Linked DNA regions of Macaca mulatta. The protein of the gene in region 3 interacts with the protein of the main gene of each other region in a biochemical or structural test. Links are inferred from orthologs where the notes say so. Each region holds a gene or a part of one and is shown on either strand. Other genes may lie near its edges.

What was found.
Region 1: the proteins of PRKN (region 3) and UBE2Z form a complex in vitro, tested with the Homo sapiens proteins (2 studies listed by BioGRID). The link is inferred for Macaca mulatta from reciprocal best matches to the Homo sapiens genes PRKN and UBE2Z.
Region 2: of the proteins of PRKN (region 3) and SNCAIP, one has a biochemical effect on the other in vitro, tested with the Homo sapiens proteins (3 studies listed by BioGRID). The link is inferred for Macaca mulatta from reciprocal best matches to the Homo sapiens genes PRKN and SNCAIP.
Region 4: the proteins of PRKN (region 3) and PARK7 form a complex in vitro, tested with the Homo sapiens proteins (2 studies listed by BioGRID, with this or other methods). The link is inferred for Macaca mulatta from reciprocal best matches to the Homo sapiens genes PRKN and PARK7.
Region 5: the proteins of PRKN (region 3) and UBE2G1 form a complex in vitro, tested with the Homo sapiens proteins (5 studies listed by BioGRID). The link is inferred for Macaca mulatta from reciprocal best matches to the Homo sapiens genes PRKN and UBE2G1.
Region 6: the proteins of PRKN (region 3) and ABL1 form a complex in vitro, tested with the Homo sapiens proteins (2 studies listed by BioGRID, with this or other methods). The link is inferred for Macaca mulatta from reciprocal best matches to the Homo sapiens genes PRKN and ABL1.
Region 7: of the proteins of PRKN (region 3) and SEPTIN5, one has a biochemical effect on the other in vitro, tested with the Homo sapiens proteins (2 studies listed by BioGRID). The link is inferred for Macaca mulatta from reciprocal best matches to the Homo sapiens genes PRKN and SEPTIN5.

What each region holds. Positions count from the first base shown.
Region 1 is NC_133421.1:61,085,975-61,089,925, reverse strand, and holds part of UBE2Z (ubiquitin-conjugating enzyme E2 Z), read left to right. Parts: intron 1-3,115; coding exon 3,116-3,228; exon of another isoform or gene 3,229-3,276; intron 3,277-3,951. UniProt on the Homo sapiens protein: Catalyzes the covalent attachment of ubiquitin to other proteins. Specific substrate for UBA6, not charged with ubiquitin by UBE1. May be involved in apoptosis regulation.
Region 2 is NC_133411.1:131,435,013-131,438,963, forward strand, and holds part of SNCAIP (synphilin-1), read left to right. Parts: intron 1-430; coding exon 431-523; intron 524-1,135; coding exon 1,136-2,207; intron 2,208-3,528; coding exon 3,529-3,599; intron 3,600-3,951. UniProt on the Homo sapiens protein: Isoform 2 inhibits the ubiquitin ligase activity of SIAH1 and inhibits proteasomal degradation of target proteins. Isoform 2 inhibits autoubiquitination and proteasomal degradation of SIAH1, and thereby increases cellular levels of SIAH.
Region 3 is NC_133409.1:9,424,846-9,429,456, forward strand, and holds the start of PRKN (E3 ubiquitin-protein ligase parkin), read left to right. Parts: upstream 1-1,451; 5' UTR 1,452-1,550; coding exon 1,551-1,557; intron 1,558-4,611. Other genes in the region: PACRG (parkin coregulated gene protein), read right to left, coding at 825-980. UniProt on the Homo sapiens protein: Functions within a multiprotein E3 ubiquitin ligase complex, catalyzing the covalent attachment of ubiquitin moieties onto substrate proteins. Substrates include SYT11 and VDAC1.
Region 4 is NC_133406.1:232,823,900-232,827,850, reverse strand, and holds part of PARK7 (Parkinson disease protein 7), read left to right. Parts: intron 1-1,494; coding exon 1,495-1,554; intron 1,555-3,067; coding exon 3,068-3,137; intron 3,138-3,951. UniProt on the Homo sapiens protein: Multifunctional protein with controversial molecular function which plays an important role in cell protection against oxidative stress and cell death acting as oxidative stress sensor and redox-sensitive chaperone and protease.
Region 5 is NC_133421.1:5,803,328-5,807,278, reverse strand, and holds part of UBE2G1 (ubiquitin-conjugating enzyme E2 G1), read left to right. Parts: intron 1-661; coding exon 662-764; intron 765-3,951. UniProt on the Homo sapiens protein: Accepts ubiquitin from the E1 complex and catalyzes its covalent attachment to other proteins. In vitro catalyzes 'Lys-48'-, as well as 'Lys-63'-linked polyubiquitination. May be involved in degradation of muscle-specific proteins.
Region 6 is NC_133420.1:16,719,197-16,723,147, reverse strand, and holds part of ABL1 (tyrosine-protein kinase ABL1), read left to right. Parts: intron 1-1,166; coding exon 1,167-1,340; intron 1,341-1,905; coding exon 1,906-2,201; intron 2,202-3,951. UniProt on the Homo sapiens protein: Non-receptor tyrosine-protein kinase that plays a role in many key processes linked to cell growth and survival such as cytoskeleton remodeling in response to extracellular stimuli, cell motility and adhesion, receptor endocytosis, autophagy, DNA damage response and apoptosis.
Region 7 is NC_133415.1:32,983,114-32,987,691, reverse strand, and holds the start of SEPTIN5 (septin-5), read left to right. Parts: upstream 1-1,376; 5' UTR 1,377-1,671; coding exon of another isoform or gene 1,672-1,752; 5' UTR 1,753-1,906; coding exon 1,907-2,143; intron 2,144-2,532; coding exon 2,533-2,629; intron 2,630-2,734; coding exon 2,735-2,821; intron 2,822-3,043; coding exon 3,044-3,167; intron 3,168-3,248; coding exon 3,249-3,383; intron 3,384-3,477; coding exon 3,478-3,595; intron 3,596-3,696; coding exon 3,697-3,798; coding exon of another isoform or gene 3,799-3,833; intron 3,834-4,547; coding exon of another isoform or gene 4,548-4,569; coding exon 4,570-4,578. UniProt on the Homo sapiens protein: Filament-forming cytoskeletal GTPase. May play a role in cytokinesis. May play a role in platelet secretion.

The DNA.
Region 1 (3,951 bases), on a different chromosome or scaffold from region 3:
CTCCCAGGTTCAAGTGATTCTTCTGCCTCAGCCACCCGAGTAGCTGAGATTACAGGCACGCACCACCATGCCTGACTAATTTTTTGTATTTGTAGTAGAGAAGGGTTTTCACCATGTTGGCCAGGCTGGTCTCGAATTCCTGACCTCAGGTGATCCACTTGCCTTGGCCTCCGAAAGTGCTGGGATTACAGGTGTGAGCAACCATGCCTGGCCAGCTTAATTTATTTTTAAACTACTACAGATGACACCAACTTTGATTATTTCTCTATAGACCTGAACAAAGGATAACAAAATACCTTTCAAAAATGAAAAAAAAAATTTTTTTTGAGACGGAGTCACTCCGTCGTTCAGGCTGGAGTGCAGTGGCTTGATCTTGGCTCCACCTCCCAGGATCAAGCAGTTCTGCCACAGCCTCCCGAGGAGCTAGGACTACAGGCACACACCACCACGCCTGGCTAATTTTTGTATTTTTAGTAGAAATGGCGTTTCACCGTGTTGGCCGGGCTGGTCTCGAACTCCTGACCTTAGGTGATCAGCCTGCCTCAGCGTCACAAAGTGGTGGGATCACAGGCGTGAACCACCGAGTCTGGCTTCAAAAGTTAACTAAAATTATTCCCTAATCCATCCTTTCTCCAAACAGTCATTTCAGGAGGAGATTCTAATTGAAATAGACCTCATTAGCAGGAGCTGATTTGTAGGTCTTATCTTTTTTTTTTTTTTTGGAGGCAGACTCTCATTCTGTCACCCAGGCTGGAGTGCAGTGGTGTGATCTCAGCTCAGTGCAACCTCTGCCTCCCAGGTTCAAGCGATTGTAGTGCCTCAGCCTTCCTAAAGTAGCTGGGATTACAGGCACACACCACAACGCCTGGCTGATTTTTGTATTTGTAGTAGAGATGGGGTTTCGCCATGTTGGCCCGGCTTGTCTTGAACTCCTGGCCTCAAGCAGTCTGCCCACGTCAGTCTCCCAAAGTGCTGGGATTACAGGTGTGAGCCACCATGCCCAGCCTTGTGTTTTTTATTTTTTACTTCTACAATGACTTGCAGTTGTTTTTATTTTATTTTTTATTTTATTTATTTATTTACAGGCACGCACCACCACGCCCAGCTAATTTTTATATTTTTAGTAGAGACGGGGTTTCACTATTTTGGCCAGGCTGGTCTCCAATTCCTGACCTCGTGATCCACCTGCCTCAGCTTCCCAAAGTGCTGGGATTACAGGTGTGAGCTACCGCGCCTGGCCCATCAGCTGCTTTTATCAGAGGCCACGGCTCTAATTGACTGGGGTTGGTGGTAAGAGAAGAGCACAGGAAAAAGTAAAGAGGAGGCTGTACTCCCCTTCCATTCACACCATAGTGAGATCCTGTTTATATTGGCTTTCTAGACCAAAGTTGAAGTTTATCTTTTGAAAGTTTTAAGTTCTGCTTCTGCTAGATTTATTTCTAATTTTACTATTTCTTTGAGACAAAGTCTTGCTCTGTCACCCAGGCTGGAGTACAGTGGCACAGTCATAGCTCACTGAAGCCTCGAACTCCTGGGCTCTAGCCATCCTCTCGCCTCAGCCTCCTGAGTAGCTGGGACGACAGGTGCACATCACCAATGCCCAGCTAATTTTTGTATTTTTTATAGAGACGGGATCTCACCATGTTGCCGATGCTGATCCTGAACTTCTGAACTCAAGCAATCCGCCTGCATCGGCTTCCCAAAGTGTCGGAAGTACAGGCATGAGCCGTCGGGCCCAGCCCTACTTCTGATTTATAATAATTGGTTCAATGATGGTGGGACCCTAGAGACATATAACAGGTAAAGGGGTTAATCAGGAAGCATCCTTTACTTGTTGGTGCCTAAAGGTTTTCCACGCTGACTCTTCACTTCATTTATACCTTTTTGTCCCACCATCATTCTTTCTTTCTTTTTTTTTTCTCCCCCTAAAAAGACAAGTGTTTCCCAGCCTGGGCAACCTAGTGAGACCTTGTCTCTACTGAAAAAATTTAAAAAAAAAATAGCTGGGCATTATGACATGCACCTTGAGTCCCAGCTACTTGGGAAGCTGAGGAGAGGAACATCGCTTGAGCCCAGGAATTCAAGGCAGCAGTAACCTCTGATCATGCCTACCACTTTCCAGCCTGGACGACAAAGCAAGAGCCCGCCTCTTAAAAATTTGTAAAATAAAAGACAAATAAGCTGGGTGCGGTGGCTCATACCTGTAACCCCAGCACTTTGGGAGGCGGGTGGATTACCTGAGGTCAGGCGTTCAGGACCAGCCTGGCCAACATGGTGAAACCCCGTCTCTACTAAAAAATAAAAAATTAGCCAGGCATGGTAGCGGGCACCTACAATCCCACCTACTTGGAAGGCTGAGACAGGAAAATTGCTGGAACCCAGGAGGCAGAGGTTGCAGTGAGCTGAGATCGTGCCATTGCACTCCAACCTGGGCGACAAGCAAAACTCAAAAAACAAATAAATAATAAAAAATACAAACTTGGGACCCGCTGTGGTGACTAATGTCTTTAGTCCCAGCTACTCAGGAGGCCAAAGTGGGAGGATTGCTAGAGCCCAGGAGTTCGAGGATCCCTAGATCCCAGGAGGTCAAGGCTGCAGTTAGCTATGATTGTGCCACTGCATTCCAGCCTGGGCAACAGCAAAGACCCTGTCTCCAAAAAGAAAAACTGAAAAAACAGGATCTTACTTTGTTGTCTAGGCTGAACCCAAACTCCTGGGCTCAAGTGATCCTCACACCTCAGCTTCCTGAGTAGCTGGGACTACTGGTGCATGCCACAAGGCTTAGCAACCCTACCATCATTCTTATGTTTGGTTATTTCCCTCGTAATCTTTACTTGATAGGCCTTTCACTTGACATTCAGGAAAATGATGTGGATCTAGTTTGCTGGTTATAGGCCAAATGACCTGCAACCTGATGGTATATTTGGAGGGTGGTGGGGTGAATGGTGTCAAAAATAAAGGTGTGGTTGCTCTTCATGGATCTGCCATACAGTGGGAAAGGTATTTTTTAGTTTGTATGACTGGCTTACATACCCCATACTAATCTTGAAGTCTCTTCCCATTGCCTTTCTTTTTGCTTAAATTTTGGGATACTCTGGCATCTGTTACATTACAGGAGAGACATCCAGGAGACAGCAAAAACTATAATGAATGTATCCGGCACGAGACCATCAGAGTTGCAGTCTGTGACATGATGGAAGGAAAGTGTCCCTGTCCTGAACCCCTACGGTATGTGTCAAGAGGGCTTGCTTGGTATTATTCCTTTGGGGCACTTGGGTAGTTGACACCTTTGAGGAACTTTGGGGCAGAGACAGTGTTGGGCACCAGAGGGAGATAGAGAAGAAGGAAAGATGTGGTTCCTGCTTTTAAAGAACAAGCTGCTGAGGGTTACCCAAGAGAAAGTTCAGAGAGCTACTGTGTTGGAGAACGCCAAGCCTTTGGGAGAGGCAGTCCACACCCTCAGGGAGTTTCCAGTTTGATGAAGGCTTGGATGTACTTTTTTCCAGCCAAATGTGTAGAGCACTTCATAATAAACTCATTTCTTAGTGCTGAAGTTTATTTTTATTATTATTTATTTATTTATGTATTTATTTTGAGATGGAATCCCGCTGTGTCGCCCAGGCTGGAGTGCAGTGGCCGGATCTCAGCTCACTGCAAGCTCCGCCTCCCGAGTTTACGCCATTCTCCTGCCTCAGCCTCCCGAGTAGCTGGGACTACAGGTGCCCGCCACCTCGCCTGGCTAGTTTTTTGTGTTTTTTAGTAGAGATGGGGTTTCACCGTGTTAGCCAGGATGGTCTCGATCTTCTGCCCTCGTGATCCGCCCGTCTCGGCCTCCCAAAGTGCTGGGATTACAGGCGTCAGCCACTGCGCCCGGCCTGAAGTTTAAGTGCCAAAACTGGATGAGCAATGTCAGGGTTAGATAAATAAATTTCTAGGAGAATTTTGAGTAAG
Region 2 (3,951 bases), on a different chromosome or scaffold from region 3:
AGTATTTTGTAATTTTCCTTTTTATTAAATGAAAGTAAAGTATACTTCATATATACATATTTATATATAACTATGCTTTATATCTACATTATGTAGACATAAGTGGGAAAACTTTTTCTATGTCCATAGATACTCAAACATATTATCATTTTAATAGCTGTCATTGTAGAAACAATTATAATTTGTTAACTCAGACTTACTGATAAGCATTTAGGTTACTTACAGTTTTTCATTAATATTGGCAATAAATATCTTTTTGGGGTACTTTTGATTGTTTCCTTAGGAAAATTTCTGAACTGAAGATTATGCACATTTTAAGGCTTTTGTATTTATTGCAACTTACTGGAAATTATTAGGAAAAAAATTATACTCCCTAATTTATAGCAGTAGCCAGTATCAGAGACCTCATGTGTTTTGGTTGTTTTCCCAGACAAACAGTAGAACGTGTCACGCTGCAGAACCAACTCCAACAATTTCTAGAAGCCCAGAAATCAGAGGGCAAGTCACTCCCTTCTTCACCCAGGTAATACCAGCACATTGTTGTTTAGCATTCTTAAGTATCCTAAATTGTTAAGCCTTCTTCTGAACTTCCTTTGATATATTTTAAGAGGATGACAACAGAAAACATTTTCTTCTTATAAAGGGGAATAAAAATGAGAAATCACAGTGAAAAAGGCACAGGACCTAGAGTCTGAAGACCTACTCTATTCTCTGATTCTGCTATTTTTCATTCCACGACTATAAACAAGTCACTTACTCTTTTGTGAGAATTGAATCTTTTAATTCTTCATCTGTGAAGTGGAAATAGGAGATATATAGATATAGATATAGATATAGCTTGATAAGTTTGTTGAAAATGGAATTAGCTGAGAACATTTATGCAAAATTGATGTATAAACAGTAAAACAGACAAATTTAGTAGTCATGGTAGTTATAGCCAAAGGCATAAGGCACCTTATAGCTGATACTATGGAGTATTTGCACATTGTTTTGAAGAGACATTAAGTACTTATTTGTATTCTGTTCTTATTTACTTGTACATTATTAGTGGCAGTAAAGGCCATGTAGCGACTTGTGGCTGAATCATTTCAACCCAGTAGGAAATCATCTCATATGTCCTTCATCTTCTTTTTAGTTCACCATCCTCACCTGCCTGCAGAAAGTCCCAGTGGAAATCCCCAGATGCAGATGATGATTCTGTAGCCAAAAGCAAGCCAGGAGTCCAAGAGGGGATTCAGGTTCTTGGAAGCCTGTCAGCCTCCAGCCGGGCTAGACCCAAAGCAAAAGACGAAGATTCTGATAAAATCCTACGCCAGTTATTGGGAAAGGAAATCTCAGAAAATGTCTGCACCCAGGAAAAACTGTCCTTGGAATTCCAGGATGCTCAGGCTTCCTCTAGAAATTCTAAAAAGATCCCACTGGAGAAGAGGGAACTGAAGTTAGCCAGGCTGAGACAGCTGATGCAGAGGTCACTGAGTGAGTCTGACACAGACTCCAACAACTCTGAGGACCCCAAGAATACCCCAGTGAGGAAGGCTGACCGACCAAGGCCACAGCCCATTGTAGAAAGTGTAGAGAGTATGGACAGCGCAGAAAGCCTGCACCTGATGATCAAGAAACACACCTTGGCATCAGGGGGACGCAGGTTTCCTTTCAGCATCAAGACCTCCAAATCCCTGGATGGCCATAGCCCATCGCCCACCTCAGAGAGCAGTGAACCAGACTTGGAATCCCAGTATCCAGGCTCAGGGAGTACTCCTCCAAACCAGCCCTCTGGTGACCCTCCACAGCCCAACCCTGACAGCACTGCTGCCCAGAAAGTTGCCACAAGTCCCAAGAGTGCCCTCAAGTCTCCATCTTCCAAGCGCAGGACATCTCAGAACTTAAAACTGAGAGTCACCTTTGAGGAGCCTGTGGTGCAGATGGAGCAGCCTAGCCTTGAACTGAATGGAGAAAAAGACAAAGATAAGGGCAGGACTCTCCAGCGGACCTCCACAAGTAACGAATCAGGGGATCAACTGAAAAGGCCTTTTGGAGCCTTTCGATCTATCATGGAGACACTAAGTGGCAACCAAAACAATAATAATAACTACCAGGCAGCCAACCAGCTGAAAACCTCTACATTGCCCTTGACCTCACTTGGGAGAAAGACAACAGATGCCAAGGGAAACCCTGCCAGCTCCACTAACAAAGGAAAGAATAAGGCAGTAAGTGCTATTTGGAGACTATTCTTTTTTTCTTCCTTCAAATGGATTATGTTGTCCCTAATACTACAGATTGTGGGCCCATGCTACCTTGAGGGAATCCCCAGAAAAAAAAATCCAAAGGGATGCATGGAAAGCCAAATAATGTGTCTAATGAGACATGTCTTGTTACATACATACTCCTTGCTCTTCTTTTGGAAAATATTCTAAGAGAGAAATGTTAAAAAAGAAGTCATAAGAGATTATATTCTGGTCCCTAAATTTCCCTAAATGGCATAATCTTTAGGTGTTAGGGATGCTAGACTTGGAGACATTTCTGCAAGATGAAACCACCAGTCAGTGCAAGTTTAGTCCTGCATTGGCACTGATTCTGTCCCAAGGAAGAGTTTGTTCTCTTCATGTGATGTGATAGTTTATTCTCAGGCTCAATTAAAAAGTACATAAATAGATGCTCTGTTTCTAAAGACTTAACTGTACAACTTTGGGATGACCTTTGAAATGAATACACCACAGGGACCTCCACATAGGTATTTTACAACACAGACTCCTAAGTGTTGATTGGAGCCTATAGGAACCTGAAGTGCTTGCCAGTCCACAGGGGATGGCAGAGTATGCCATGAACTACATTTTATAATTGCCTTCATTGGAAACCCATGCACTATAATCTGTGATTTATATCTAGTGGATAAGAGATATGAACATCTTTTTAGGCAATGTTTCCTGCAAGCTTTGCACTTGCCATGCCATTAAAAAATGGTATAGCAGCCAAAATGCAAAACTCTCTGTGGAATGGAATGACCTAGATCATTCTCCACGTGATCCAGATAAACCACCCAGTGGAGCTGCAGAATCTTTGTGATTTATCATTAGCTATAAACGTTAGAATCCCATTACAATGAGGTTTAAGAACTGTCCATATTCTTTTTGCAGTACCCAAATCAAGTTTTAGTGAGTATTTCTCTAATTAATTGAACACCAAATTTTAAATTATAAATCAATTTTGTCTGTAAATTGTCCTTATTATAGAAGACTACATCATGTGTTTGTTTCAGCTAGAAAAGGCATACTTGTGCCCAAAACACCAGACCTTTTGAGTCAAATGTGTCAAAACTTAAGTCACTCAAATAAAACTTTACCAGGTAACTTACTGGGTTCTGCTACTCAGTAGTAAAAGAAGAATCATCTCAGTTGCCCATGCTCCTTAAAGTGCATACTAAGCCACTGTCCTCTAATCTGTCTTCCTGCATGCTTCGTGTTTACTGGGCTTGTGCATGTGCTGAGCTTGTTGCATGTTTTCAGATGATTTTTAATTGCACCTCTCTAGGAAATGTACAGCAGCTGCATCAATCTTTCCTCTAACACGCTGATTGAAGAGCATCTGCATAACTACGCACGGTACGTGGTGCTAGGAGATGTGTTGTGCGGCCTTGACATGCTTTGCTTTGAATTGCATGAGCTTTTAAATCATGGACTTGGAGCACCTTTCATCAGAGGATAACACCAAGGAAGAAGAAAACTACAACTATTCCCCCAAGTAGAAGCAGGCACTGATGTAATGGTAACTAGGTCTTAGGTCGCTAGTCCCCCTTGGAGGGCTTTATTCCAGTGTCAGCCAGAAGATTCTTCTCAGTTCACAAACTTTTGCTGTATTTCCTAGTTGACTTTGGCTTTCAATCTTTGTTTTAATGGAGTCAAGTATTAAGAAAGTATTGAAATTAAATTTCCTGTCATGGTGGAGTGAGTCAGC
Region 3 (4,611 bases):
CTCATTCCCAGACAGGTGCTTACTCAGTAGCAAAATCTGCCTTAGCATACCAAGTGTAAAGCTATGTAACAAATAGGAAGGTTTAAAAAATAGATACTATCATGCAGACAGCTAAAATATTTGTATGTATTTTTAATCTTTTTTTCCTCTAATGATACTTAGAATATTTTATTTTTGTTACTACAAATAATGCAGATGAAATATGAATTGTATTAGTAGCAGAGACACATGAGCTAAAGCTTGTATTGTTTAAAGCACATCATCTTAAAAGGCCTGTCAGGAAACAGTGTTCATATTAAGTGGGCTTTCAGTACTCTAACAAGATGACATCATTTTCTAAGAGACAAGTGTTGTTAGAGTAACTGCTAGGATATTCCAAAATTTCTCATTATAGATTATTTAATGAGTTTATGTTCCCAGTTGTATATCAGCTCATGTTAAATTTTGCAAGAGTTTATGATTTCTAAGAGCTCATCTTCTGTAAGGCCCTTTGCTGAGTGGGGTTAGTTAGCAATCAGTAATTAAAGGGGATCTTTTTACCTCGTGTAAATAGCGTAAGAGTAATTTTGGGCGGTTTAGAAACGATGAGTTATCAGGAAGGTGCTTATCAATGGGCAGAGTATATCATTTGCCCAGGATTCTAACAACCTAGCCTGCCCCCCACACACTGTGGGGGACCGTCTGCTACTTGCCAAGTAATTGCCATTTTTGGCAAAGACCACCCAGGACATGGGCTCAGAGTCCATCCTAGGGCTGGCCAACCTCTGTAAATCTCGTGTCCCCTGATACGGAGCGAGTGCATTCAATTCAGGAAGATCACTTACGACTGAGTTTTTCATCATGGCTTTGACTGTGAAGCCCTCAGAAACCAGGGAGTGAGGCTGGTGCACCGGGAGCGGCTGTTGTGCCAGCAGCTTGGTCCTCTTCGGCATCTTGTCTGGGCATTTGTTTAAGCTCAGGGTCTCTTTTTCTGCCACCATCTTCCTAGAAAATGTCTTGTTCTCATAAAAAGTGTAGTAAAAGAATCAGTGGGTTTTACGGATGTGAGCAGGAGGTCGGGAAAAAAATGTCAAAAGGCGCGTTAATGGTAGAAATTCAACCCCTCGTAGTGCCCAGGTTGATCCAGATGTTTGGCAGCTCCTAGGTGAAGGGAGTTTAGGGGAGGGGTGGGGCGGGAAGAGGGCAGGACCGTAGCTAGAGCTGCAACAAGCTTCCAAAGGTAAGCCTCCCGGTTGCTAAGCGACTGGTCAACACTGCGGGCGCATAGCTCCGCCCCTCGGTGACGTACGATTGCTGGGCCTGAAGCCGGAAAGGGAGGCGGCGGTGAGCTGGAGGGCAGGAGGCGTGAGGAGAAACTACGCATTAAAACTACGACTCCCAGCAGGCCCTGGGCCGCGTACCCTCCGCGCGTGCGCATTCCTAGGGCCCGGCGCCGGGGCGGGGAGCCCTGGAAGATTTAACCCAGGAGAGCCGCTGGTGGGAGGCGCTGGCTGGCGCCGGTGCGCGCGTAGGCCCTTTCCTGGCCCGCAGCCGCCACCTGCCCAGTGACCATGATAGGTACGTGGGTACCTGCCAGGTACAGCCTCATCTGCGCCGCCCTGCGCCCCGGTGTGGCCTCGGCCGACCTGGACCCCAGGTGCCAACTGTCAGTGACGGGGCCAAAGTGCCCATGTCGTACCCGGCCCGCACCGCCGGGCTCTCCAGCTCAGCGACGCGGGCCCGGGGCCCCAGTGTGTGCGTTCCAAGCCCTCGCCCGCCCGCCCCTGCTCTGAGCGTTCCCGTGAAGACCGCCTCACCGGGGACGCCAGGCGGCCCCGCACCCCCGGTCCTCGCTCATGGTCCCCCGGACCGTGTAGGGTCCCGAAGCCTTCGCCCCGCCGCCGCCCCTCGCCCTCGAGGCCCTGGCCAGTTGTCGTGCGGTTCAGGACCCATCGAGACCCACTCTTTGTGGGGCTCTTTCAGGAAACCCCAGCAAAGCATTAAACTCTAATGGAAGGCACCTGGTGAGGGTGGCTGGGCGCCACAGAAACTCCTCCAGATGAATCTAAACTTCTTGCTCCCTCGGATGTTTCCTTTTAAACTTCTCGTTGGAGGGCTGAGGTGAAAGAAAAATTGAGAGTAAATAATAGCCAAGATTACATCTACTGCCTTTTGCAAAATAACTTTGTTTTTTTTGTTTTTTTTTGGTAAAACACAATGACCGAGGTGCAATTTTGTGAACAAAACTTAGTGGCATCAGAGTTGTTCATGAACACTTGATGTGTAAGATGAGCAAAGGTGCAAAGGTCCTCTTCCAGGGTTGTTGAACCAAAAACTACTTTAGGGGCTGTCCCTAAAAATGAATGGAAATGCACCATATGTTTAGAAGCCAGTGCTATATGGGGTTTCATTATTGTGGAAGTTTCTCCAGGTTATGTATGGAGGGTTTAGTGAGCTTGTTTAGGGCTAATTCCTGAGGAGCGTCCCTTACAAAACACTTTTGATTGCAGTAAGTACGTTCGAAGTCAGATGTGGTCTGTCCAGAAGTAAGGTGAGAGGTGGATTCATAAAATATATGATCTTTATGCACTGAAAACACGTACTACATCTGTTTTTATTTATGAAGTTATTGTTAAAATGTAAACATTCTGCCCATCAGTGGGAGAATCAAGCCAGCTAACTGGCATTGTCTTTGTCTCTGTGGTAAAACAAGAATGTTGTCCAGCCTTTCTTCCCTTTCTAGCATGGTCTGACTTTTGGTGAATGACTTGAAAGTTAACCAAATTATGAAAAAGTTATAATTTTTTGAGTTTTCTTGAGCTCTTTTTAGGTGACATTTACGTAAGATTCACTTGTAAGCACAAGTCTGAACTGAATCAGAAAACCAAGTAGAAGAGATTTTCCAAAATCCGTGCTATCAGTAGTCTACAGGAAGAAAATAGCCTATACCTTATTTTGAAGACAGTTAAATACATTTTATTTTAATTTAACTTAATCTAGTGCACAGATAATTTTAAGAGAAACAAATTTATTGTAAAGCTATATGAAGACAGGCACTTAAGATCTGGGATTAGAGGCGTAAGCCACCATGCCCAGCCTCATTAGCCACATTTCAGTAAACATCTGAATGGCCAGTTTGAGATTTGGGTGTGGTGAACAGTGCTAAAGGTAGGTGAAAGTGAAAACCATTAAAAGGAAGCCTTGGAGTGATGGGTTTTGTGTTTTTGTGACAAAAATTCAGAGCCAGGAAAGACATTATAGATTCTATCCAGTGATCAGTTGGAGATCAAAATGTAAATAGTATGTATCTGGGATTTTCTGTTAAAGGTAAGAGTGCTTCTCAAAGCTTGCTCCTTTCAGGCCTATGCTTTCTCTGTTACACTCACCTTGTTGCGGGATTCAGGAGGACGAGAGAGACCTCAGGTTGAAACAGGAGAATCTTGATCGAGTGCACTCAGGCCCAGCTGACTCACATGCAATAGACTGGGCCCAGAATAAAGACAGTACTTGACTTTTATACACACTTCACAAAAGGAGGTGGGCTAGCTTGAAGCAAACTTACAGTGGTGGCAAAGCAGGGATACAGAGGCAGGACAAAGGCAGGACTGCACATGACCATCGCCAAGCAACCCAGATGTTCGTTATCTAGGTTTCCCTGGGCACAGGCTTATCCTATAACCTTCACTGTGGTGCCCAGGCAGCTGTAGTTCAGGCCTACTCAGGCTTCTCATGACCTTCGTTGTACTTCTTAGATAAAACAGAATACTTGAAATCACTAGTTACAGAGAACAAGAGTCTATAAACTGATTCCATAAAACAAAGGAAAATTTGTTTTTCTTCTCCCTGTGTTGAGGGAGTGCTGGGAGAGTCTCCAGAGCACATTCGATAATATTATCAAGACTCTTCCTGGATCTGGGCTGTGCTGTTGCTGCCTCTGGGACAAGTTAGCCTAAAACAGGAAAACTTATTTCTTTTTCTTTTTAATTTTATTTTTCTTTAATTTCCCGCCCCAACCTTAATGCAAATAATATTCTGCCAGTTGGAGAAACGTAAAGATGGGTTTCCTGGTAGAAGAGGAGTAAACAGGACTGACTGCGACCTAACTGCTAGTGGAATGTACCTTCCTTTTACTTTCTCAAAACCAAAGATTCCCTTCTTGGGATGAGGACTGTTTCATAAGTCCTTACATTTCCCACCTGGACTGCGATTGATATGTTGAATGCCCTGACCTGGGCAGCTATGGAAACGTAATTTAATTGAAGTCGGTTAAAAATTGTGCCTTTGTGGAAGGTGTGGAGAAGGACTTCAAGATAATATAAAGCAGAATAGAAAAGCTTAAAAGAATTCAACGTAGAACAGTGTAATTTTTGGTATCTCTATTAAAAATATATTTTGACTTTTTAAAAAATGATCAGTTCTTTGTATTTAAAATGGAATGTTAGTGGTGATAATTTGTGGTATGTTCTAAATGTTCTGTAGAACTGGATTTAGGTATTTGAGTAACAGCAGATATTAGAGTGCTTGGTTATATATACACCAGTGTTGTCAGTATTGAAATACACATTCAGTGTCTTATACTTTTAAGAAGATTTTTGATTGACAAAAACCATTCATTGGAACATAGTCTCTTCT
Region 4 (3,951 bases), on a different chromosome or scaffold from region 3:
AGTGAGCTATGATTGCACCACTGCACTGTAGCCTAGGTGACAGAATGAGACCCTGTCTCTCAAAAAATTTTATAGGTTGCACTAAATACATAATACATTTTTATTTTGTAATTTGTTTAATGACTAGATTTTTTTTTAACCTCTTTTTAAAGTCCTAAAGTATTGTTGGCCGGGCACAGTGGTTCACGCCTGTAATCCCAGCACTTTGGGAGGCCAAGGTGGGTGGATCACGAGGTCAGGAGTTCGAGACCAGCCTGGCCAAGATGGTGAAACCCCATCTTTACTAAAGATACAAAAATTAGCTAGGTGTAGTGGTGGGTGCCTGTAATCCCAGTTGCTTGGGAGGCTGAGGCAGGAAAATTGCTTGAATCCAGGAGATGGAGGTTGCAGTGAACTGAGATCACTGCATTCTAGCCTGGGTGACAGAGCAAGACTCTGTCTCAAAAATAAATAAATAAATACATAATAAAATAAAATAAAAATAAATAAATAAAAAGTCCTAAAGTATTGTTAAAACAATTTCCATTTTGTAATTTCAGGAAGTTTGAAATTAATTAGATTTCTAGGATTTTTTTGGGGGGGGGATACTCAAATTCTCCCCCGTTACATTTTTCATAATGTTAAAAAAAAAAAAGTTTGTGCCTTTTACTTAAAATTTGTTTCTCTATTAATTTTTTTTTTTTTTAGTGTCTTACTCTGTTGCCCAGGCTAGAGTGCAGTGGCGCAGCCTCAGCTCACTGCAGCCTCTGCCTCCTAGGTTCAAGCAATTCTCCTGCCTCAGCCCCCCAAGTAGATGGGACTACAAGTGTGCACCACCACGCCCGGCTAATTTTTGTATTTTTAGTAGAGATGGGGGTTTAGCCATTTTGGCTAGGCTGGTCTTGAACTCCTGAACTCAGGTAATCTGCCCGCCTCGGCCTCCCAAAGTGCTGGGATTACAGACGTGAGTCATCGTGCCTGGCCTGTTTTTCTATTAATTTTTTAAGTTGCTCATGTACATTCTTATTGAACAATAATTGAAACAATATAGACACATATAAAGTCAAAATGTTAAGTGTCCTATTCTCATTCTACCTCTGCCCCATCCCACACTACTCCTGTTAGCAACTAGAGTGTCTTCCTTGGTCTGTGACTACCTGTATACAATATATCAGGTGGGGGTGCTTGTGATGATTGTACTCATACACGCATACATCTACACATAAATACATATATCATTGTCTTTTACAGGAAGGAGATTATACTACCCCTGCTACTCTGTAGCATGGACATCCTTGCATGTCACTATATACAGGTTTTTTGCATTTTTTGCTAGTTAAAATAACATTCTGTCATATGGATACACCTTAATTTATTTAACTGTTCTATTGGCAGATATTTAGGCTATCTCCTGTGCTTCCCACATTTAAAATAGGGAAGTGTTACTGGACTGTCACTTTAATGCACAGTTGAAATTAAATGTTTTTGTTTTCTTTATGTTTTAAACTGTTACAGGGACCGTATGATGTGGTGGTTCTACCAGGAGGTAATCTGGGTGCACAGAATTTATCTGAGGTAAAAATTCTACTCAATTATACCTCAATAAAGCTGGGGGGAAAAAAACTAAAGAATTTCAGCATCTGCTTGTGTTCTGTTGATTTTGTTATTATTCAGATGTTTCAGGGAGGAGGCTGTGAAAAAAAAATAGAAACAACTAAAATTAACAAAATGGTGTTGTAGCATTAACTCAAAAATTTCTTTCTTTCTTTTTTTTTTTCTTTTTGAGACAAGAGTCTTGCTCTATCATCCAGACTGGAGTGCAGTGGCACAATCTTGGCTCACTGCAACCTCCGCCTCCTGGGTTCAAGCAATTATTCTGCCTCAACCTCCGAGTAGCTGGGACAGGCACGCACCACCTTGCCCAGCTAATTTTTGTATTTTCGTTAGAGACGGGGTTTTACCATGTTGGCCAGTCTGGTCTCAAACTCCTGACCTCGTGATCCACTCACCTTGGCCTCCCAAAGTGCTGGAATTATAGGCATGAGCCACCACACCCAGCCTCAAAAAAACGTTTTTAATATTTTCTCTGGAGGTCAGGCGCAGTGGCTTACACCTATAATCCCAGTGCTTTGGGAGGCTGAGGCAGGAGGATTACTGGAGGCCAAGAGTTTGAGACTAGCCTAAGTAACACATCGAGACCCCATCTCTACAAAAATTTTTGTTTTAATTAGCTGGGCACAGTGGTGCACACTTGTAGTCCCAGCTACTCGGGAGGCTATGGTGGGAGGACGGCTTGAACCCAGAAGTTTGAGGCTGCGGTGAGCTGTGAATGCACCACTGCATTCTAGCCTGGGCAGCAAAGCAAGAACCTGTCTTATCCAAAAAAAAAAAAAAATTGCCGTGGAAGTAAGCTGAATTGGTGGAACCGTTATGAACAGATTTCGGTGAATACAGTCCAAAGTAAGATGATTTAGTTTTTTTCCACCAGCAGAAGAATGATCAGATTTTGTGTTTTGGGAAGGGCAAATTGTCTACTCAAAGTCTGAACTGGGGGAGGCTGTGGGGCTAGGGCTGCCAGCAGGAATGACAAATGCCATCAGCAGACACCACTGTTCCTCATTTTAAGTTGTATGCGAGGAGTCAGAGGCCAGGGTGAGGGGCACACCAGCAGGCAGAGTTGGGGCTGCCAGAAGCACTCAAGAAGTGGGTTGAGTCAGACATGAGGGATCATTTCCTGCTAGATTCTCTTCCTCTATCTGCCATCTGAAAACACCCAAAACACCACATTCCCTCCTCCTTTTTGTTTCTCCATGGAGTACAAAATGGCAAGGGTCAAATTGCTTCTTTCTTCTGATCTTTAAATGTGGAGGAATGCGTTTCTCTTATGAGAAATGCCTTGCTTGGGTTTGATAATATAATACAGACACGTTTTGATCATTTTTATACCAATGATTTAGAAATATTGTTGGAAAATAGGTCAGAGAGCTTGTGGTTTAAGCTAAAATGAAATTCTTCCAAAGTTTCCTAGTGAGCGATTGGTTAGTGGCTTAATGATAACTTGACATATTTTTGGTTTTCTTTTCACTAGTCTGCTGCCGTGAAGGAGATACTGAAGGAGCAGGAAAACCGGAAGGGCCTGATAGCCGCCATCTGTGCAGGTGACGTGCAGGGGCAGCCTGTGTTGCAGCGTCATTGGTGGGTGGGGTAGCCTTTCATTCGGTGGTTTGATTTCTTTTTTTTTTTTTTTTTTTTTTTTTTGAGACGGAGTCTCGCTCTGTCACCCAGGCTGGAGTGCAGTGGCCGGATCTCGGCTCACTGCAAGCTCCGCCTCCCGGGTTCACGCCATTCTCCTGCCTCAGCCTCCCGAGTAGCTGGGACTACAGGCGCCTGCCACCTCGCCCGGCTAAGTTTTTGTATTTTTAGTAGAGACGGGGTTTCACTGTGTTAGCCAGGATGGTCTCGATCTCCTGACCTCGTGATCTGCCCGTCTCGGCCTCCCAAAGTGCTGGGATTACAGGCTTGAGCCACCTCACCCGGCCGGTGGTTTGATTTCAAATAGCTCTTCCCCTTCATAAAGCATGCAGGGCGTCTATGTTGGTGTATTTAGTTTGGGTGGCATGAAGGTGGTGTCATTTCAGAAATGAGGACAATTGTTCCGTTTTCTGCCTCTCCATGCCTTTGGTCTACGTGCTGTGAAACTTAGTGTTTTCCGTGTTTGGTTGACCTCGGAGGAAAATAAGGCCCTCTGGAATTCAGTAAACAGCTTGTTACAGCAGGTCTCTGTGCCAGAAAGTCTTTGTGCCAGCACACAGTCAGCAAGAATCCGCCAAACATCAGCACAGCAGCTCTGCCCTGTGCTTGCCCTGCAGATTCAGAAGCGCCGTGGTGCTTTCTGCTGGCTTCCGGGCGTTTCTGATTCTCTCACTGCCGAGTTATCTTGGGCACCGCATTATCTGCCACACAATTTAGAAT
Region 5 (3,951 bases), on a different chromosome or scaffold from region 3:
ATGATGCTACAGCCATTCCTGTATGCTCTAGCTATTACTCTTAAGTTAATCCTGTGTCCCAGAGGCTATGGCTCTCAGAGGGTCAACATACACAGATAAGACTTATGGGACCTCTGCTCTCCTTGTGCTCAGAGATGGATGGGCACACAGGAGCACTGTAGGAGCAGGTCCCCACGACTACAGGGACATGTCAAATAGGAGTACAAATGTTAGTACAAATGAAAGTTATTAAGCTCAGTATATTCCAATGAAAAGGTATGATTAGACACTCTGAAAGCATACCCTAAAGATAGCAGCTTAAGAATTGCCAACTTGATTTGATTTCTGGGGTTCCCTCGAACGAGAATCTCTGGGGGATGGGCCTGGATATCTGCATTTTAATAAGCTTCCTTAAAAGACCACTGTAGGGCCACCCAGAATGACAAGAGCCTGGCTGGACACCAGTAGAAGTTGATCTTCTGGAGAGTTTGCTTTACCCAGGGCTTTCTTACAGTATAGACATGAAAATATTTTGGCCATCAAGTAGCATCTTGCCTGGCAAGGTATATCTGTTTGATGGTTTAAAACTTATATATAACATGTATGCTCAAGTTCTGTAATTTATCTATTGGATGAAAATTTTGTGCTTAAATGTATTGATTAAACTTTGCTTTTTCCACAGAACTCAACAAAAATCCAGTGGAAGGCTTTTCTGCAGGTTTAATAGATGACAATGATCTCTACCGATGGGAAGTCCTTATTATTGGCCCTCCAGATACACTTTAGTAAGTATAATGGGACTGACATCTTCAAAATGGAGCTCTTTTAATACACTGAGTTAAAAACTATTTTGGCAGGCTGGGCGTGGTGGCTCACGCCTGTAATCCTAGCACTTTGGGAATGGGTGTGGTGGCACGCGCCTGTAGTCCCAGCTACTCAGGAGGCTGAGGCAGGAGAATCACTTGAACTCAGGAGGCAGAGGTTGCAGTAAGCTGAGACCACACCATTGCACTCCAGCCTGGGTGACAGAGTGAGACTCCATCTCAAAACAAAACAAAGCAAAAACACAAGTATTTTGGCAAACTGAAATGAAATTATTTTTTAAGGAGCAGGAGAAATGGCTGTATTCAGTATCCTTTGTACTGAATTGGATCATCGAAGAGTGTTCGTGTTCTCCTTGAATCTCTAATGTCTAAGACCTATTGCTATTAAAAATAATAGTTTCAGGCTGGGTGTGGTGGCTCACGCCTGCAATCCCAGTACTTTAGGAGGCTGAGGTGGGTGGATCACCTGAGAGGTCAGGAGTTTGATACCAGCCTGGCCAACATGGTGAAACCCTGTCTCTACTAAAAATATGAAAATTAGCCGGGCGTGGTGGCACACCTGTAATCCCAGCTATCCAGGAGGCTGAGGCAGGAGAATCACTTGAATTCAGGAGGCAGGATAATTGTATATTTTTTGGACATTTTAATTGAGAATGTATTATACACATCAGTGTATTAAGAAGGCTAAGGAGAATTTTCAAGATCGTCTATTTTCGTGGTTCTCTACTTGAGTCCCCACTGAATACTGGTTAGAATCTAGGTGTTCTTATCCTATACTAAACTAATGGTCACTTTCTCCTAGTTTGTTGAAAGTTATTGTTAGACTATATGATAACCTGTTAACTGACTATTAATTGTTAAACCAATGACTTAAGGATAGACAACAATGTAGTGGTATTAAATAAGAGTAGAAGAGAAGTAGAATTTTAAAAATATTTCGTGTAGTACATTTCTAGATGCAAAGACCACAGTCGTATTTTCTGCTCTGAGTGTTTGCAGACTAACTTAAATTTACTAGTATGTATTGTTTTGTAAGATGCATCTGCCAGGCGCGGTGGCTCACCCCTGTAATCCCAGCACTTTGGGAGACTGAGGTAGGCAGATCACGAGGTCATGAGTTCGAGACCAGCCCGACCAACATGGTGAAACCCTGTCCCTACTAAAAAGACAAAAAAATTAGCCGGGTGTGGTGGCGCGCGCCTGTAATTCAGCTACTCAGGAGGCTGAGGCAGGAGAATCGCTAGAACCCAGGAAGTGGAGGTTGCAGTGAGCTGAGATAGCGCCATTGCACTCCAGCCTGGGTGACAGAGCGAGACTCCATCTCACACACACACACACACAAAGATGCATCAAGACTTCCTTACATTGGTGACTGATACAAGTTTCCATGCTTTTTACAGCAGTTCAGGTATTGGAAAAAAAGGAAGTGACCTTCTTAAAGCCAACAACTGAGTGACAGGGACAGATCTAGATCTGAGTTTCTTGAGGTCTGGACTATACTTTCTCATTTAACCTTCATCTCAATGGTGCTAAGTGGGTAAGGATTTGGATGCATCAAACAGTTTTTTTGGTGATGGTCAGGTAGTTGTTTTTAGGTTTTCTGAGTTAGTAGCTCTTTTCCTCCTCAGAAAACAGCTGATGGAAAAGAAGATTTGGAGCTATTTCTCTGCCAGGCTAGGCTGATACGTAGAGTTGAACCGTCGTGTGGACATTTGTGTTTGTGATAACGATTGCCAATCCGAAATTTTGCTGATGTGTTTCCTGATAGTAGTTTGCATTGATGAGTTTTACAAATTGAGATAACTGAATTTGGCCACCCCACATGATTAAGGTTTTTGGCAGATAACAGTAGCCATTGAAGACCATCTGGAAGTGCTTCCTCCTAACCTTACTGTTATTTGAAAGCAAATTTCCTAACAGTTTTTTCACCAAAAGATGCTTGATGCAGCCAGATCCTTACCCACTTACCACACCTGGGATGTGAGCCCGGTGAAGTTCAGATCTATTCTTGTAGTTTTTCAACATCACCACCTTGGGAGACACAGCAACATTTCAGTGACAGAATCTAGTTACCCTTGTATTACGTACATGAAAACAAGAAAAACTCTTCTAAACTGATGTCTGTATGGAGCATTGGTTGGGAATCCAGATTTGAGCTCAATTCTAAGGGCCTCATTGAAATTTTTTTTTTTTTTTTTTTTTTTTTTGAGATGGAGTCTCACTCTGTCTCTCAGTCTGGAGTGCAGTGGCGCGATCTTGGCTCACTGCAATCTCTGTCCCCTGGGTTCAAGTGATTCTGCCGTGTCAGCCTCCCAAGAAGCTGGAATTACAGGCACCTGCCACCACACCCGGCTAATTTTTGTATTTTTAGTAGAGATGCCATTTCACCATGTTGAGCAGGCTGGTCTCGAACTCCTGACCTCTCAGGATTAGATATACACCATTTTGTTACAATTGCCTACAGTATACAGTACAGTAAAATGCGCTACAGGTTTGTAGCCTGGGAACTATACGCTGTATCCTAAAGCCCAGGTATGTAAGTAGGCCATACCCTGTAGGCTTGTGTATGTTCACTCTGATGTATAAAATCGCCCAAGGACGCCTTTCTCAGATCATAACCCTGTCGTAAAGCCTCGCATAACTGACTGTATGTTGTGTACCTCCAGCTCCACCAAAGAGAAACACTTTTTCTTTTCACTAATAAAAACCCGTTTCTGGGCGGGCGCTGTGGCTGACGCCTATAGTCCCAGCACTTTGGGAGGCCGAGGCGGGCAGATCACGAGGTCAGGAGATCTAGACCATCCTGGCCAACATGGTGAAACCCCGTCTCTACTAAAAATGCAAAAATTAGCTGGGCGTGGTGGCGCGCACCTGTAGTCCCAGCTACTCAGGAGGCTGAGGCAGGAGAATTCTTGAATCCGGGAGGCGGAGGTTGCAGTGAGCCAAGATCACACCACTGTACTCCAGCCTGGTGACAGAGCAAGACTCCATCTCAAAAAAGAAAACAACACCGTTTCTGGTATTTGGTGTACATTTTTGAAAGCGTTGGCTGTTGACTTGAGATGTGAATCACAGCAGTGTTTCTGGCAGCTCCTCTGGAGTGTGTATATGCTGCTGAGAATACTGGTGGTCACTTCTGGCCTGTGCC
Region 6 (3,951 bases), on a different chromosome or scaffold from region 3:
AAGTCCTTCAGAGACACTGTCCTAGCTGGAAGAACCAGCAGTGAAGGTGTGTGTCTGTTGCTGAGAATAGGGCTCCAGCTGATACTTAAGAGAGGTGGGGGTGATCACCAAAAAAACAGCTCTGCCTCTAGGAGCAGAGAGGACTGGGATAGAAAGTATTTATCTTTCATATTAAGCCCTTCTGCACAATTTGATTTTTCTTATTTATTTATTTTTTCTTTTTTTTCTTTTTTTGAGATGGAGTCTCACTCTGTCGCCCAGGCTGGAGTGCAGTGGCGCGTCTCAGCTCACTGCAACCTCCGCCTCCCGGGTTCAAGCAGTTCTCCTGCCTCAGCCTCCCAAGTAGCTGGGACTACAGGCACCTGCCACCATGCCCGGCTAATTTTTGTATTTTTAGTAAAGACGGGGTTTCATCATGTTGGATCTCCTGACCTCATGATCCGCCCACCTCGGCCTCCCAAAGTGCTGGGATGACAGGCGTGAGCCACCACACCTGGCCTCTTTTTTTTTTCTTTCTTTCTTTTTATTTTAAGACGGACTTTCTCGTTACCCAGGCTGGAGTGCAGTGGCGCAATCTCTGCTCACTGCAACCTCCACCTCCTGGGTTCAAGCGGTTCTCCTTCCTCAGCCTCACGGGTAGCTGGGACTATAGGCACGCGCCACCATGCCCAGCTAATTTTTGTATGGCTAATGAAGACGGGGTTTCACCATGTTGGTCAAGTTGGTCTCAAACTCCTGACCTCTGGTGATCCGCCCAGCTTGGCCTCCCAAAGTGCTGGGATTACGGGCGTGAGCCACCGTGCCCGGCTAAAACAAGAAACTTTCACTGCATATTTTAAGCAAAGGGAAACGCATATGTGGATAGACTGTTTTAATTTGACTAAACTTATATTGAATCAATGAATTTTAAAAGCTCAAACTATTGGGGAACAGTAATTACCGCCTTGGAATGAAAATACTTAATGTTTTCCACAAGATTTAGTAAAGGAAGATTTTTTTTAAAACCACCTTAATAATAATAGTATGTATAGATGTTAATAAATGAAATAAATTAGGGATGTATAATGTTGGAAACATAAATATTTATGCTTCTGAAAATAAAACTAATTTTTTCTCCCGATTTTCTCTTGCTTTTTCTTTTTTCTGTTCCCCCCTTTCTCTTCCAGAAGCCCTTCAGCGGCCAGTAGCATCTGACTTTGAGCCTCAGGGTCTGAGTGAAGCCGCTCGTTGGAACTCTAAGGAAAACCTTCTCGCTGGACCCAGTGAAAATGACCCCAACCTTTTCGTTGCACTGTATGATTTTGTGGCCAGTGGAGATAACACTCTAAGCATAACTAAAGGTAAAAGGGTTGTGGGCAGCTAGTGGTGGTTGCAGGAAACAGAGATCTGGGAATTGCGGCTTGACCTGCCACCCTTTGCTCATTGAAGGAGCAGCTTTGAAATCTGGAATGCAGGGATATCCAAAACAACAACTGCATGTTTCTAAGGGAGTCGCCTCTCCTTAGAGGAGTTCTTGTACAATAGCCCTGAGCAAAAACAGAACTTGCCCTATGTTTTATACTGAAAGGGACAGCTGAACAAAATACTGAATGCAATTTTTCCCCTAAGAAAAAGCATTATTTCCCTAAAATGTTGTCTTATATTAGGAACAGAGCACTTGAATAAACATAATTGATTATAAAAACTGAGGCTATATACTTACCTATCTGTTCCGTACAAACAGGAAGCTTCAGATATAAATGTGTATTCTCATACACTTATAAATGCATATCTTTAAGTAGACTTGTTAAAATGAAATTGGCATTTAGGAATTTGGAAATCTTTAGTAGTTACACAAGAATCAATGAAAAAGAATGAAGCTGGTTTCCAGAGCTGATATGTCTGATTTGGTTCCTTTCTTCTAAGGTGAAAAGCTCCGGGTCTTAGGCTATAATCACAATGGGGAATGGTGTGAAGCCCAAACCAAAAATGGCCAAGGCTGGGTCCCAAGCAACTACATCACGCCAGTCAACAGTCTGGAGAAACACTCCTGGTACCATGGGCCTGTGTCCCGCAATGCCGCTGAGTATCTGCTGAGCAGCGGGATCAATGGCAGCTTCTTGGTGCGGGAGAGTGAGAGCAGTCCTGGCCAGAGGTCCATCTCGCTGAGATACGAAGGGAGGGTGTACCATTACAGGATCAACACTGCTTCTGATGGCAAGGTAGGGGACCCTTGGCAGGGGGGCTGATGGGCCCGGGGCAGGGGAACCCAGAGGTCCTGGTGTCGGATTGATAAATTATTGCAGGAAAGCTCAACCAGGAAGATGTTTAAAGAATCTTTCAAGTAAACAGTAGGAGTCATTCTTTTAGCCTTATGAAGACGCTTTATTGAGGATTGGTTCCGTGATATTACAAGTTCCTGGGCCCAGTATGATTCTCTTATTGTCTTGCTAGAGTTTTGTTGTTAGCAAGTTACTTAAAATAGGAGGAATATCTGTTGGGTTTTGGACACACTTTTTACAATAAGATTCTTCCTTAAAAAAAGATATATTTTATAATGATAGTAATCATCCTCAATTAGAAAAATTCAAATAATAGATTAGCTTTCCCAGAGCGAAAGACCACTTTAATATCCCCTCCCCCACAGAAGCCTGGCATGTGGGCTTCTTCCTGCAGATGAACACATTCATGGAGAGGTGTGTGGACGTACGTGCATATACACATGCAGTTTTCAGTGAAAACCAGGATCAGACCCACAGCTTACCAAACCCAAAGCGTATTGTTGTAAGGGAGGTGGCATATGTAATTTTGTGGTCTTCATATAAATAGTCCTTCAGAGTCCATAAAGAGAAGGGAGGAGTTAACATTGACTGAGGTATTGCTGTAATTCCTGCATCTTTGCAGAAAGGGAGGCATAAAGAGATCTTGCCGATATCAGTGTAGTGAGACATTGATGGAATAGGCTTGGATCCCCACAGTCTGCTCTATTGCACCAGGCTGTAGTTGAGGTACAGTGTAGATAGGTGGATTGGTGTGGTCCGGATGGTGTATGTTTGTTTTTCGTTTTTTTTTTTTTTTTTTTTTTTTTTTTTTTTTTTTTTTTTGAGATAGAGTCTTACTCTGTCACCCAGGCTGGAGTACAGTGGTGCGAACTTGGCTCACTGCAACCTCTGCTTCCCGTGCTCAAGTGATCCTCCCACCTTGGCCTCCTCAGTAGTTGGGACCACAGGCACACACCACCACACCCAGCTGTTGTTTGTTTGTTTATTTTGAGATGACATTTTCGCTCTCATTGCCCAGGCTGGAGTGCAATGGTGCGATCTCGGCTCACTGCAACCTCTGCCTCCCGGGTTCAGGCACTTCTCCTGCCTCAGCCTCCTAAGTAGCTGGGATTACAGGCATACGCCACCATGCCTAGATAATTTTGTATTTTTAGTAGAGACAAGGTTTCACCATGTTGGTCAGGCTGGTCTCGAACTCCTGACCTCAGGTGATCCACCTGCCTCAGCATCCCAGAGTACTGAGATTACAGGCATGAGCCACCGTGCCCAGCTGTTTTTGTATGTTCAGTAGAGACAGGGTCTCGCCATGTTGCCCAGGTTAGTCTCAAACTCTTGAGCTCAAGCAGTCTGCCCTCCTTGGCCTCCCAAAATGCTGGGATTACAGGCATGAGCCACTGCGCCCAGTCTGTATTTTTTTTAATAGTATGTAATGCATGCATGTGGTTACAAAAATTCAAAAGAACAAGATGAATTACAGTAAAAAGTAGTCGTCTGCCGGGCGTGGTGGCTCAAGCCTGTAATCCCAGCACTTTGGGAGGCCGAGATGGGCGGATCACGAGGTCAGGAGATCGAGACCATCCTGGCTAACACGGTGAAACCTCATGTCTACTAAAAAAAATACAAAAAAACTAGCCAGGCGAAGTGGCGGGCCCCTGTAGTCCCAGCTACTTGGGAGGCTGAGGCAGGAGAA
Region 7 (4,578 bases), on a different chromosome or scaffold from region 3:
TCCCCAGGTGCCAGTGGCTTCCAGGCCCCACAACAGGACCAGGGCCTGGACCGGCAGTGGAGGAGGTCCCTCAGCCAGGAGGGCCTAAGGGAGGGCTGGTGGCGGGTGGGGTGGGGCTGGGGCCTCCAGCTTCTAATGTTCTAACGTGCAGGGACTGGGCCTGTCCGGTCCTACCCTGGAACTTTTCTAGGCCCCATGTCCTGCTCTGCTGGGCTTGCCTGTTGGGATTCTACTGGGGTCAGGAAGGTGGGTGGCCCACAGAGCGGAGCTCAGGAGACCCCCGCAGTCCCTGGAGTAGCCACATGGGAGGGAGGCCCAGCTGGCAGGAGCTCCGAGTCCCTCCAATCCTGTGGGTCAGAGCCGATGAAGAAGCTCACAGGGCAAGGGAGTGTCCACGGAAGCACATGGGAGATGGGTCTCATCCCACCCCCTACCCCTGTCTCTGAGGGCAGGGCCACCTGGGGGCTGCAGGGCAGCGCATGGGTGGCTGGTGTTTATTCAGCAGGCTGGCAGGGGCTTCCAAGTTTTGCAGGGACCTCCAGTACTCTGGCAGCCTGCACCCTTCCCTTCCCTTCCCTTCTGTCCACCCTAAGCCTCCTAGGGGGCGGGCCGGGCTGGACTTCACAAAAGGGCTCTGCCCTCCTCCCGTCCCCCGAATGTCTTGGGGCGCCGCACCGGGAAAGAGTCCACCAAACACACATGCACACACCCACCCACACGCGCGCACACGCACATACCCAATGCACGCACTCACACACGCGTACACACACACGTGCACACGCATGTATACACGCACATGTACGGGCACACACGCAGGCATTGCACACACGCAGGCATTACACACACACCCGCACGGACGCGCACACACAAACACGCGCACACACGCACAGGGGAGGTCAGCCCCCAGCAGGGCTGGGGAGGGGTGCAGGGCGCGGCGTGTCTGTGGGCGCCGTGACGCAGCTGGGAGGTTTTTGGGCAAGTCTGCTAGAAGACTGCCGGCCCTGAATGGGGCGGGTTCCCGCGCGGTTGCGCGTGGGTCCCGGGAGCGGCCTCCGGCGCCCTCTGGCGGGCGGAAGCCGCGCAGCACCTCTTGGGGTCGGAACGCGCGGCCGCTACCGACTCCCGGCCCGCCCCAGCCCGCGTGCAGGACCCGGTCGTCCCCTTATGCTGTCCTGGAGCCCGGACTGAGGCCCCAGGGGCGCGGCGGGCCTCCCGGTCCCCGCAAGCCACGGCCAGTCAGCGCCTCGGCTCAGCCCTGCCCTCCGCAGCCGCTTTCGGGTGGCTCCGCCCGCGGCCCAATTTCCAGGCGACCGTTTCCCGGCGACGGCGGGCGGGGCCGTCTCTGCCGCCCCCCGCCGCGCGCTCCGCGGGCGCCTGCGACGCCCCGCCTCTGGCTCGGGTGCGGGAGCGGGGCCTGCCCGGGCTGCGACGCCGCCACAGCTCGGGGCCAGTCCGCCCAGTCAGGGGGATGGCTCGGGCGGCCTCGGGGGTCGACGATCCCCCGGGTGGGCGACGTGCCCTGTCCAGGCCTCACTTCCCGCGTCCGCAAAACGGGGCGGAGAACGCAGCCTAAGGCAGAGCCGTGCCAAGGTCCCTCGCCGTCTCCGGGCTCTGGCGGCCTGACCGGGCCTGGGGTCCGAGCGCGCCCGCGGGCCCGCAGGGGTCGCCGCGATGGACTCGCTGGCAGCGCCCCAGGACCGCCTGGTGGAGCAGCTGCTGTCGCCGCGGACCCAGGCCCAGAGGCGGCTCAAGGTGCGTGTGTGGAGAGGGCGGAACGTGGGTCTGTGACCCCGCGGGCCCCGAGACTCGGCAGGGGGTCCCCGTCCCCGCGCGCTGCCCGTCAGCGCCTAGGTTCAGCCCTGCCCTCCGCAGCGGCCTCGGGGGGTCCGCGGCCCAACGGTGGCCGATGTGCCCTGTGCAGGCCTCACTTCCCGCGTCCCCAAAACGGGGCGGAGAATGCGGCCGTGGGACCCCTCCAGGGGCCCCAAGGGTCTGCGGGGGCTGGGCGCCGGGGCGCGCGGGCGGGGTAGGCTCGGCGCCGCCGTCTATAAATAGGCGCTGCTCCGCCGCCGCCGCTGCCGCCGCCCCCGCGGCTGGATCCAGGCCAGGTGGGGCCTCCCGCCCCCTGGCACTCTCCGGAGGGGTGAGTGTCGAGGCCCCGAGCTTCTCTGGCTTATGGAGGGCCTTAAGTGTGTCCCAGGGGTCCCAATCCTGTTGCCCTGTGCCCGAGGAGGGAGGACACCGCCTGTGCCTGCTGCAGCCTGACATCTCCCCAAGGGACAAACACAGCCTCGGTCCCTGCAGAGCCCTCCCTAAGGTTGGGGCCAGGGGTGTCCTCTTCTGCCACCCCCTGGCCTGCCTTCTTATCTCCAGGCTTTTGCCCACGGGCCCTCCCCTCATTTTTGCCAGTGAAATGCCCCACCCTGGGAACCATACCCTCTGCTGTCTCCTCATCCTTCATTTGGTAAGAGACAGGGTATTGGGCTTCCGGAGAAACCTTTTTGTCCCTAACTTGTCCCACCCTGCCCCCAGGACATTGACAAGCAGTACGTGGGCTTCGCTACACTGCCCAACCAGGTGCACCGAAAGTCAGTGAAGAAAGGCTTTGACTTCACGCTCATGGTGGCTGGTGAGTGGGCTGGGCTCCTCGGGAGTGGCTGGGGTCCCTGGCCAGCCAAGCTCTGTCGTTGGAGCCCCAGACCTAACCCAACTCCTTCTCTGTACCCGTGTGCAGGTGAGTCAGGACTGGGGAAGTCCACACTGGTCCACAGCCTCTTCCTGACAGACTTATACAAGGACCGGAAGCTGCTCAGTGCCGAGGGTGAGTGGCCCCCAGGAGGCCCTGGCACTGATCCCCAGCCCCCTTCCATGGGACCTCTCCAAGCACTCCCTTCCAGGTCCAGCTCCCAGTGTTCTGTTCTTGCGGGTGGGTCCCCCCGGGGGTAGGGCCAAGGCATCAAGATGGATGAGGACAAGGGTCCTGGCTGCCAAGGGTGAGGGGCTGAGGGTTGGAGAGGCCCCTCCAGTGGCCCCTTCCCTGTAGAGCGCATCAGCCAGACGGTAGAGATTCTAAAGCACACGGTGGACATTGAGGAGAAGGGAGTCAAGCTGAAGCTCACCATCGTGGACACACCGGGATTCGGGGATGCCGTCAACAACACCGAGTGGTGAGCGAGGCCTACTGAGAAAGGCCCTGCCTAGGCGGCCACAGCACTCCAGGCCTGGCCTCACCTCCCTCCTGCCCACAGCTGGAAGCCCATCACTGACTATGTGGACCAGCAGTTTGAGCAGTACTTCCGCGACGAGAGCGGCCTCAACCGAAAGAACATCCAAGACAACCGAGTGCACTGCTGCCTGTACTTCATCTCCCCCTTCGGGCATGGGTGCGTGGCTGTCCTGGGGCCAGACTCGGGAGTGCACCCCCTTACAATATGGCCCCTGGCTGTGCCTATGCCCACGCTTGGCTGCTCTCGGCAGGCTGCGGCCAGTGGATGTGGGTTTCATGAAGGCATTGCATGAGAAGGTTAACATCGTGCCTCTCATCGCCAAAGCTGACTGTCTTGTCCCCAGTGAGATCCGGAAACTGAAGGAGCGGGTGAGCTTGCCGCCGCACAGGGGCCTGGCCAGGGCCCTGGGGCTGAGAGTACAAGGGGGACTTGACCGGCCTCAAATCTGACAGCCCTTGCCCCACCACAGATCCGGGAGGAGATTGACAAGTTTGGGATCCATGTATACCAGTTCCCTGAGTGTGACTCGGATGAGGATGAGGACTTCAAGCAGCAGGACCGGGAACTGAAGGTGAACATGCAGACTGCTGGGGCAGGGCGATGGAGGTGGCAAAGGCAGAACCAGAGGGCCTTGGCCTTGTCTCCTTCACACTGGGCCTGCTGGAGGAGGGCAAGGTCAGCCCAGTTGGGGGCAAGAGTCATTTGTTCTAGGAGTAAAGGACCTGTACCCCCTTCATCCAGAACTAGAAGGTAAAGGTCACCATGTCTTTGCTTGGCTGGGGTGGGTCATGCGGGCCCCACATGGTGCTTGGCAGGTATGGAGCACTTGGCCAGATCCAGAAGTGCAACAGTGGGCCAGGCCCTTAACCCCAACCCTCTTTCCATGGGTTACCAGAGGAAGGGGCTAGCCCAGTGGCACACCCTGGCTCCCAGATTTCTGACCTCCAGGGTTGGTGGCTTCAGGTACCCCAGCAACTTGAGTGGTGATAATGGAGACCATGCCAGGGGAAGGTGGCCACCAGGGCAGGGGCATCAGCACGGGGAGACATAGGCTTAGCCCTGGGGAGGGAAGGGGCAGCTGGAGGGTGTGGTTCTTGATGAGGGAGGAGATGAGGGTGGAGCATGCCTGGAAAGGCCCTGCAATGTGAAGCCCTGGAAGGCCATGGGCTCTGTCTCCAGCCAGTGGCAGAAAGGCCAGAAAGGGGCAACGCCAGGATCTCTTTGAGGAGAGGTCGTTGATGGTGATGCTGGAGGGGTGCCCTGGGAATTACATGCCCGTTTCCCATCAGTAACCCTGCAATTACGCTGACCGGGTGTGAGCCCTTCTCCCTCCTTCCCCCAGGAGAGCGCG